2 linked regions of the Mus musculus genome follow. The protein of the gene in region 2 interacts with the protein of the main gene of each other region in a biochemical or structural test. Links are inferred from orthologs where the notes say so. Each region holds a gene or a part of one and is shown on either strand. Other genes may lie near its edges.

Region 1 (4,371 bases), on a different chromosome or scaffold from region 2:
CCACAACTGACACCAAAAAAAAAAAAGAAGGCAACCAGGAAAGTCACCATGTGGTTGTCAGCAGTCACCTGGAAGACTTCACTAATAAAGCTATTTTTAGAGCGCATGCCAGTTCCACCCTCCTTCCTTTACTCCTGAGGTTCTACCTTCAGTGTAAAACCTGGGCCCCTGAATGGAGGGAACCAGAGAGCCATGGCAAGCAGAGGACACAGGGCTTCTCCAGCATGCATCACTAAGTCTAGCAGAGCGACAGTAAGCTTTCTTGTCAGCTAAAAAGGAAAACCCATCCTCTGCTCCCACATGACAGTGCACTGGACGAAGTGGCATCTAATTCCCTTTGAGAGAGGGCAAAAAATATCATACAACAAAAAGGGAATCACGTTTAGTGCTGGTGGTTACTCTTTAAAAGAGGTGATCAGACTATCACCAGACTATGGCCCTCTCTTACAGGAGCAAACCTAATGCTGACAGAGATGGGGGCTGAGGTTGGCTCAGTTGTCGGACAGACAAGTGTAAGGACCTGAGTACAGATCCCAGGACCCACATTTAAATCAAGAAAAAGAAAAGGAGAGGCAGGCAGATTTCTGAGTTCGAGGCCAGCCTGGTCTACAGAGTGAGTTCCAGGACAGCCAGGACTACACAGAGAAACCCTGTCTAGAAAAACCAAAAAAACAAACAAACAAACAAACAAACAACCCAAAAATGAAGGAAAAAGAAAAAGGGTAGGTTCAGAGGCATCTGCAACACCCTCGGGCACGTGCATGCGTGTGTGCACGTGTGTGCATGCGTGTGTGCACGTGTGCGCATGCGTGCACTCACTGGCTAGCCTGCTAGCAGTGGATAGGCTCCAGGGTCAGGGAAGAGACCCTGTCTTCAAAAAGTAAATAATTAAAAATTAAAAAGGCGAGCAGTAAAGTAAGACACCCAATACCCACCTCAGGCCCACACAGATGCACATGTGCATGCATACACAACACACAAAGAGTTGGCAAATATTTCAAGTAGTTAGCCAGAACAATACACATCTGGATATCTGATTCACCTGAGGGAATAAAATAAAATAAAAACTACTTTTTGCAGAAGCCTCCGATTCTTTCTACATCCGAGTCATTCCTTCCTAAACAGCTCCTGGCTCTGAGACTCATCATTTTACAATTCTCTGAGGACACAACCCAGCCATGCCTTCTTCCCTGAGTCAGGACCCAGTAATGCCTGACACACATGTGGAAGAAAAACATCTCCCAAATGAAGGTGCCAGCCACTTGTCTTCTCCAGCCTCTGCTCACACATGACAGTGCACTGGACGAAGTGGCATCTAATTCCCCTCGAGGGAGGACAAAAATATCATACAACAAAAAGGGAATCACGTTTAGCGATTCCTCTTCTAAACTCATTACATAGGTTTACAGCCCGTAAGTATACCAGGCCGGGTAGCAAACTAAACTATTGACAACCAAGGACACCAAACTTTAGTCTGGCCAGCTTCAGAAGTAGTTATAATTCACTTTCCAGTTCTTACACTCAATTCTGATCCAATATTACCAAGATCGAAGAGAAATATGCCAACAAGAGATTTTATTAACTCAATCATGTGGGTATCAGTTGCTGAAGTCACAAGAAAGAGACAAGAGTTTATTCTTTGGAAAACCAAAAACACAAGATTTTCAACGGTGAAGAGTCAACAGGTTAGGTTGTTGTAGAAATTCTTGTAGAAAGGTGCACACAGTAGGCATGCCAGACCTGACTCAAGGAAAAGAGCTGGCTAAGAAACCTATTCAAATCCAATACATACCTTGCCAGAATTCAAGATCTTCTGGTTTGATGACACTACACTACCTTATATGCCTTGTAATATGCCTTGTAAGTCACAAGTACAAATACAACATGGCTTTAAGGTAGGACTAAGAGGCTCTCAAATGACATCACTAGACAGGAGGTGGAGGGGGGTGCTGATGGCAGATAACAGGTGGCAGGCTTTGGGGGCATCTAAAGTACAAGAGGCCAGAGGCCAGTAAGTGCTAAGTAGTCTAGCTGCCTATGTTTCAACCTCTCACTCTGAAATTTATCAGCGGTGTGACCTTGGTCGAGTGCCTTAGCCTCTCTGTTCTTCGCTTTCTCTGTAAGTAGGCACTGCCTCGGTGCTTCGGAGGGGCTGTTGGGAGAACAGGGCAATTTGTGCGGTCTTGCCACGCAGCCCAGCAGCCGAGAAATCTCAAATCTTCACAACCTTACTCTCAACATCGGCACGATTATGAGCCAGGAGGACATCAGGCCATTTGAAAGGCACTCGGGAGGTCCTTCTTCCCGGAACTTCGGAAACGGGATTTACCCTGCAGGACCCTGAAAGCTCCTGTCTCCCAGTGCCGGCGGCGGGCCGGGGCATGTGACGCGCCTGGCAGCACTGCCTCGGTGGCCGGCCGGCCGGTAGCTCTTCCCACCCAGCAGGTTGCCGGTGGGGACGCGCCCAGCCCGAGGATCCCGTACCCGCCACCCACCGATCGCCGATCGCCCTCCGCCCGCCGGGCGCCGCCCCGCCTGGCCCGGCCCAGCTCGGCGCTCGGCTCGCCGAGGACGCCAGGCCCGGAGGCCCAAGCGGCGGCGGGGGAAGGGCGGCCGGGGCCCGCTGCTCACCGCAGGGTCAACGGAGGAGGAGACACAACGCAGGCCGCAACAGAGACGTCCGATTCCGGCTCCAGCAGGCTCCTCGGAGCTGCCCGGCCCCAAACACCGCCGCCAACGCCGCCGCCTTGGGCTTTATGGTCAAAGCTCCGGCCTTGCTTCCACTTCCGCCACCGCCGCCGCCCCGAGCGGAAGTGTCTGTCACGAGACGCCCGACGCCAGGGTTGGAGGGAGGAGCCCCACCTCCACCTTGCGTCACGTTCCGGTCGCGTCAGGCCCTAGCCTGGCATCTGGGGCTTAAATATGGCCGTTTCTAGATGGGGGCTGCCATCTTTGAAGGCTGTGCAGAAGCTGGAGCGCACCATATTGGGCCAAGAACTGATAATGCAGTGGTGTCCCCCCCCCTCATCCCACCCCGCTCCTATAAACAGAGCTAAAGGAGGGAGAGTCACTTGGTCTTTCCAGAGTGTCCCCCTCTGGAACACGCTAGTCAGTCAGCCATGTATCAGGCAGGGTATAGTCTAGGGTCTTCTGAGTCCACTGGGTACAATCTCTAATGTGGATGGAAATGATCAGTTACAGTGTCCCCAGTGTTGGAGACCCAGTGATGAAATAGGAGCTACCTGTGCAGGGCAGATGGTTCAGGAAAATGGAAAGAGAGCTAAGGAGTTGCTGAACTGAAGAGACATGAGGCTGATTTTAGTGTCACGCCCACCAAAACTAAAACAAAGGCCTAATCCATCAAAGTCCATATCTTTCTGGGGAAGTCTCAAAATGTACTAACCTTGCTTTTTAGCTTCTGTAGTTCTGTTTATGGCTGACAGTTCTTGTTAACTGAAGTATGTCAACCCAGAACATGTTTTTTTGTGTGCTTAAAAGCTCACCCTGAGAAAGACTCAGGTTGTCCTGGGGTATTGAACACCCAGTGCAGTAACCAGCTGCCATTTCTTAGCTTAAACCCATATCTGAGTAGTCTTTTCTGGTGAATACCCCACAACACTAGTACATGTTCTAGCATATAAGGAATAGAGAAGGTTTGTAGGTCCTAAGGAATAGGGGAAAACAAGACCTTTCTGCCAAGATCCTCACCATTTGATATAATAGACACACACACAGGAGTTTGCTCAGTTTCAATCATTAGTTAATTATTACTTGGCCATTTGACTGAATACTTTGAAACTAAGATATGAACAAAGGAAGTCTATGTATATTCATATGCAAAGTGAAATCTTCAAGAAATATGAAGTGACAAAGTAGGGTGCAAAGATGTATATGTGACAGTTCTTGGTTCTTGTTGGGGAAAAAAAAAACACATACTTGCTGGGTACAAATTTCAGCAACTAGTTATCTGGGTTATCTATTAAAATTTGACCGGATAGTAGGACCCATATGAATCTGGTGGTCCAGTCAGACTTTCCACAGTTGTAGGGATGCAGGAAGCTGGTTCAGGCCCTGTCTCTCTACCTCATGTTGGATATAGCATCAGCCTCCACATGGCAGATAGACCAGCAGTTTGGAAGCAAAGCTGCATGTGGCTAAGAGCAGTGATACACTAGACCCAAGGAGGAAAGTGGGAGACAACTATGAGGCCCAACAGGAACTGTGTCTGCTTTTCATCTCTTCTGACTTTAGTTCCCCTAGAGTAACTCACAGAGCAGCCAATGCCCTATTCTAACCTCCACGGGCACTGCATGCACAAGTTGTCTTTATATACACATTTAGGCAAATCACTCATACAAGTAAAAAAAAGGG
Region 2 (3,820 bases):
CAGTGTCTAGGCAGGCATGGTGCAGGAGCAACTGAGAGTTCTAAATCTTCATCTGAAGGCTGCTAGCAGAATACTGGATTCCAGGCAGCTAGGATGAGGGTCTTAAAGCTTAAACCCACAGTGACACACCTATTCCAACAGGGCCACACTTTCTAGTAGTGCCACTCCCTGGTCCAAGTATATACAAACCATCATAGACACCAACTGAATATTGGTGATAGAAATTATTGTTAACTGTTTAGAGGTCTGAATGGTGTTGAATTATGATTTTTGGAAGAATTTCCCTATTTTTTAACCTTTATTTTTTTTTATTTTTGAGATTATATTTAATATGTTTCTCCTTTCCTTTTCCTCCGTCCAAGCCCTCCTATGCACCTCTTCTCATTCTCCTTCAAATTCATGGCCTTAATTTTTTTTTTTTTTTTACTAACTGTTACGGAATGCATATAAGTGTTTGTATATACATATATATATTCCTAAATATAATCAGGGTGGCACACGCCAGTAGGATATGCTAAAGAGGCAGACTTAGGAGGATCTCAAGTCCCTCTGTAATTTCAATTGATGCGACGAACTATGGTCTTAAGGATCCAACACTCTGTCATTCATCTCTATCTTTTTTCCCTATTCAGAAGGAAGAAAGAGACCTATAATATTCAGAAATTAGCTACTTCCATTCTTACACTGAAGGACTTAGGAGATATAAGTGTGAGAATACATGCTTCCATTGATACTGAAGGAAAGAACCCCTCAAACACATACAAGACTAGGGTTGAAATCAAAGCTTCAAGCAATAAGCACTTGGACAAAACAATAATGTGTTCAAATGTTTTGTGCCAGTATTACTATGGAGCTATATACTGGGGTCTATACCTAAGTGAAGGTACTGGAAAGGAAATACGAACACCTCAAGTGTGCAGTACCTTGACAAAACCAAGTAATTCCAGCAATATAAAGTATCTAAAATTCCGAGTGCTCAGGTCAAAGGAAGCACTCCAAAAGAAAATATGACGCTAAAATGAATCCACAGAACTAACACAAGGAACTAATCAACCACGTGAAAGTTAAATATTAGAGGAAACAGAACATATATACATATACATACACACACAGTAATATATAATATTTTAGGTTCAAAATCAGGCTAAATTGGATATACCACTTAGATGGAGAAGTAAACATTAAATCACTTACAAAAAATAAAATGAACTATGTGTGCATATACTCACTCTTCACCGGACTTATTTTAAGATAGGAGCGTCAATAACTCAGCCTAGCCTCAACATGCTATGTAGCCAAGAGCGGTCTTCACACCACATGGTAGGATTACAGGGATACATTACCCAGCTCCCTTCTGTCTTATTTTCATGTTATGTTTTCCATACAACTCTTTTAGAAGATATAAATCATAACTTACCTGCAAAAACACTGTGGAAGTTCTCCTTGGCCATATAAAGGAAACAGAAATGGAGTGTTGCCATACCGCCCAAGACACTGAAGAAACTTTTTAGTAGCTTTGAGACCATCTACAGTACTGCTTGTTGTCTCTGATGTCATTGCAATTGAGTGCAGGACAAAATATTGTAGGTTGGGGGTTAATTTTTGAGTTTTTAAGTATTCAGAAAATGTAGTTTCCTCGTATGCTATGAAAAGATGAAAATTTATCGATTAAAATCAAGTTTAATATCTATTTAAAAGCACCCTACATTACTAGAGCCAGGCCTGTTAAAGATTTCAAACAGGACACAAGTTGTCCTTATTACTACAGTTTGGAAATGAACTATTTATTGGTCTTAAGGACAAAATATGAAATAACTCCACTATCCTAAATGAATCAATAATAGTTTTTAAAGCTTTAAACAATGAATCTTTATTTAGTAATTTATTGATGTGAAAATCCACGGAGGTATTAAATAACTCAATGTGTTTCTGTGGATGCCAATAACCTCAATTCATTAGCATTTAAACTATACAGTAATGTCAACATTTATATCTAAAAATATTAAAGATAAAATGGAATGAAGTGATAAAATACATTAATAAAAATGTCACTTTTGTTACATTTTGCATCATACTTTCGTTCATCAAACGTAGGATAAAAAGTTTTACTAAATTAATGAAACTAATATGTCTGTGGCTGCTAGAATCTAACATACTGACAATCACACATCAAATAATAAGGAAGACCTATCAAACTAATTAATCCTTTCTGTTAGTAAGAGAGAACAAGTAAAACTAGTGGGAGGACCCAGTCCTGTGCCAGAAAACAGGCCTTTATGGAAATATTAAATGATAGAAACGAACTTCCTGAGAGTCTCTAAGTCCAGGTACTGCAAAGAAAAAGCTGGTATTCACTGCCTTAAAGCTATAATAGCAAGAATTAGAATCTCATAATTCCATCAAAACAAATCATGATGTAATTCTCAATGTAATTTTATATATTATCAACAAAGTACTTTAAGTTTGCACAATATTTCCATCCCAATGTACTTAGAAAATAGCTGACAATAAAATAATGAAATCAATTTTGAACAAGCTAAAATGGCTGGCCTTAAGAATACAGTAAGAAGACAAACCTCAGCTTCTCTAGATCTGGAGGTTTCCCTATACATGACACAGCACTTATGTCAATCAAATGAATAGCTCAATTTTCCAAGTAAAAGCAGTCTAGAAAAATGACATCTAGCAAGTTATTACTATAGTAGTAGTAATAGTAGTAGTAGTAGTAACAAAACAACAACATATTAAAGGTTAAATAACAAAAAAGGCATGTCATATCAAGAATCAAGTAATATACTATATCATGAGCCAAGTCTTCACTTCAATTACTAGTGCCATACATATAATGATTAAATAATCAGTTAACAGTATTTAATTTTTAAAAAATTATAAAGGGGAGATGGCATGACATTCTTGCAATGTTGAAAATATTTGCATTATAGCTACTACCTACATAGAGGTACTAAGTACTTGAAATATGTCTAGCATGACTGAGGAACAAATTTCTTCAGTATTTCATTTAAATGAATTCAAATAGCCTGCTTCTATAGCTTACTAGATCTAGGAGTTAAAATGCATTTTAGAATAATCAGTTGTTTTCCAACCTGAGGAAGCATATTAAAATTACAATCTCTAATAATCAGAAAATACAAGTTAATGGAAAGCAATACCTTTGTACTCATCGGGATGGTCTTCATATTCCACACAAAATGTAAGAAATTTCATAAGCATTCGCTTTTCTACCATAGTAAGTTGTTTGCTATTGAAGACATCTGCTCTGGAACAGGGGACCTGAAAGGCATTTGAAAGTGAAGGTTTCAAAGTACTTCCTATTGACACAAGTATTCCAGGATTCCACGTTTTAGTCCTTTCCTCATTACAAGGTTATCATTTCCATTCCATTCTCGCTGCTTCATGTCACCTTTCATCACTTCTAATAGCATCTCTCTTAACTACAGAGATAATTAACTTGAGAGCTCTGTTACTTAATTCTGCCAAGTTGTTCTTCATGCCTTTAAAAGGGCAATGGCACGTCACCCCTAATAGCAAAGAAATGACAATTCAAATATGGTACTGCTGACTGAAACTAGCATTTCCTCAACATTAAAATCAACCTGAGGAATAAATGTTCAAAAACAAAACAGAAGTTTTAATGGGGCTCATTTTGTATTTAGATTTATAAACCACCATGCAAAGTTGAAACTCAGCCTTACTAGGAAATAGTAAGTGTTGCTTATCCTTCCAACATGAGTAATAGTAACTTGTCTCAGAGAGTTGAGCAGCACAGTACCTGTTCCACAGTTCCTTCTCGAAATGCAAG

What was found.
Region 1: the proteins of Chm (region 2) and Rab7 are reported together in a solved structure, tested with the Homo sapiens proteins (2 studies listed by BioGRID, with this or other methods). The link is inferred for Mus musculus from reciprocal best matches to the Homo sapiens genes CHM and RAB7A.

Annotation. Positions count from the first base shown.
Region 1 is NC_000072.6:88,042,442-88,046,812, forward strand, and holds the start of Rab7 (ras-related protein Rab-7a), read right to left. Parts: upstream 2,830-4,371; 5' UTR 2,632-2,829; intron 2,577-2,631; exon of another isoform or gene 2,496-2,576; intron 1-2,495.
Region 2 is NC_000086.7:113,108,759-113,112,578, forward strand, and holds part of Chm (rab proteins geranylgeranyltransferase component A 1), read right to left. Parts: coding exon 3,791-3,820; intron 3,292-3,790; coding exon 3,171-3,291; intron 1,644-3,170; coding exon 1,418-1,643; intron 1-1,417. UniProt on the Homo sapiens protein: Substrate-binding subunit of the Rab geranylgeranyltransferase (GGTase) complex.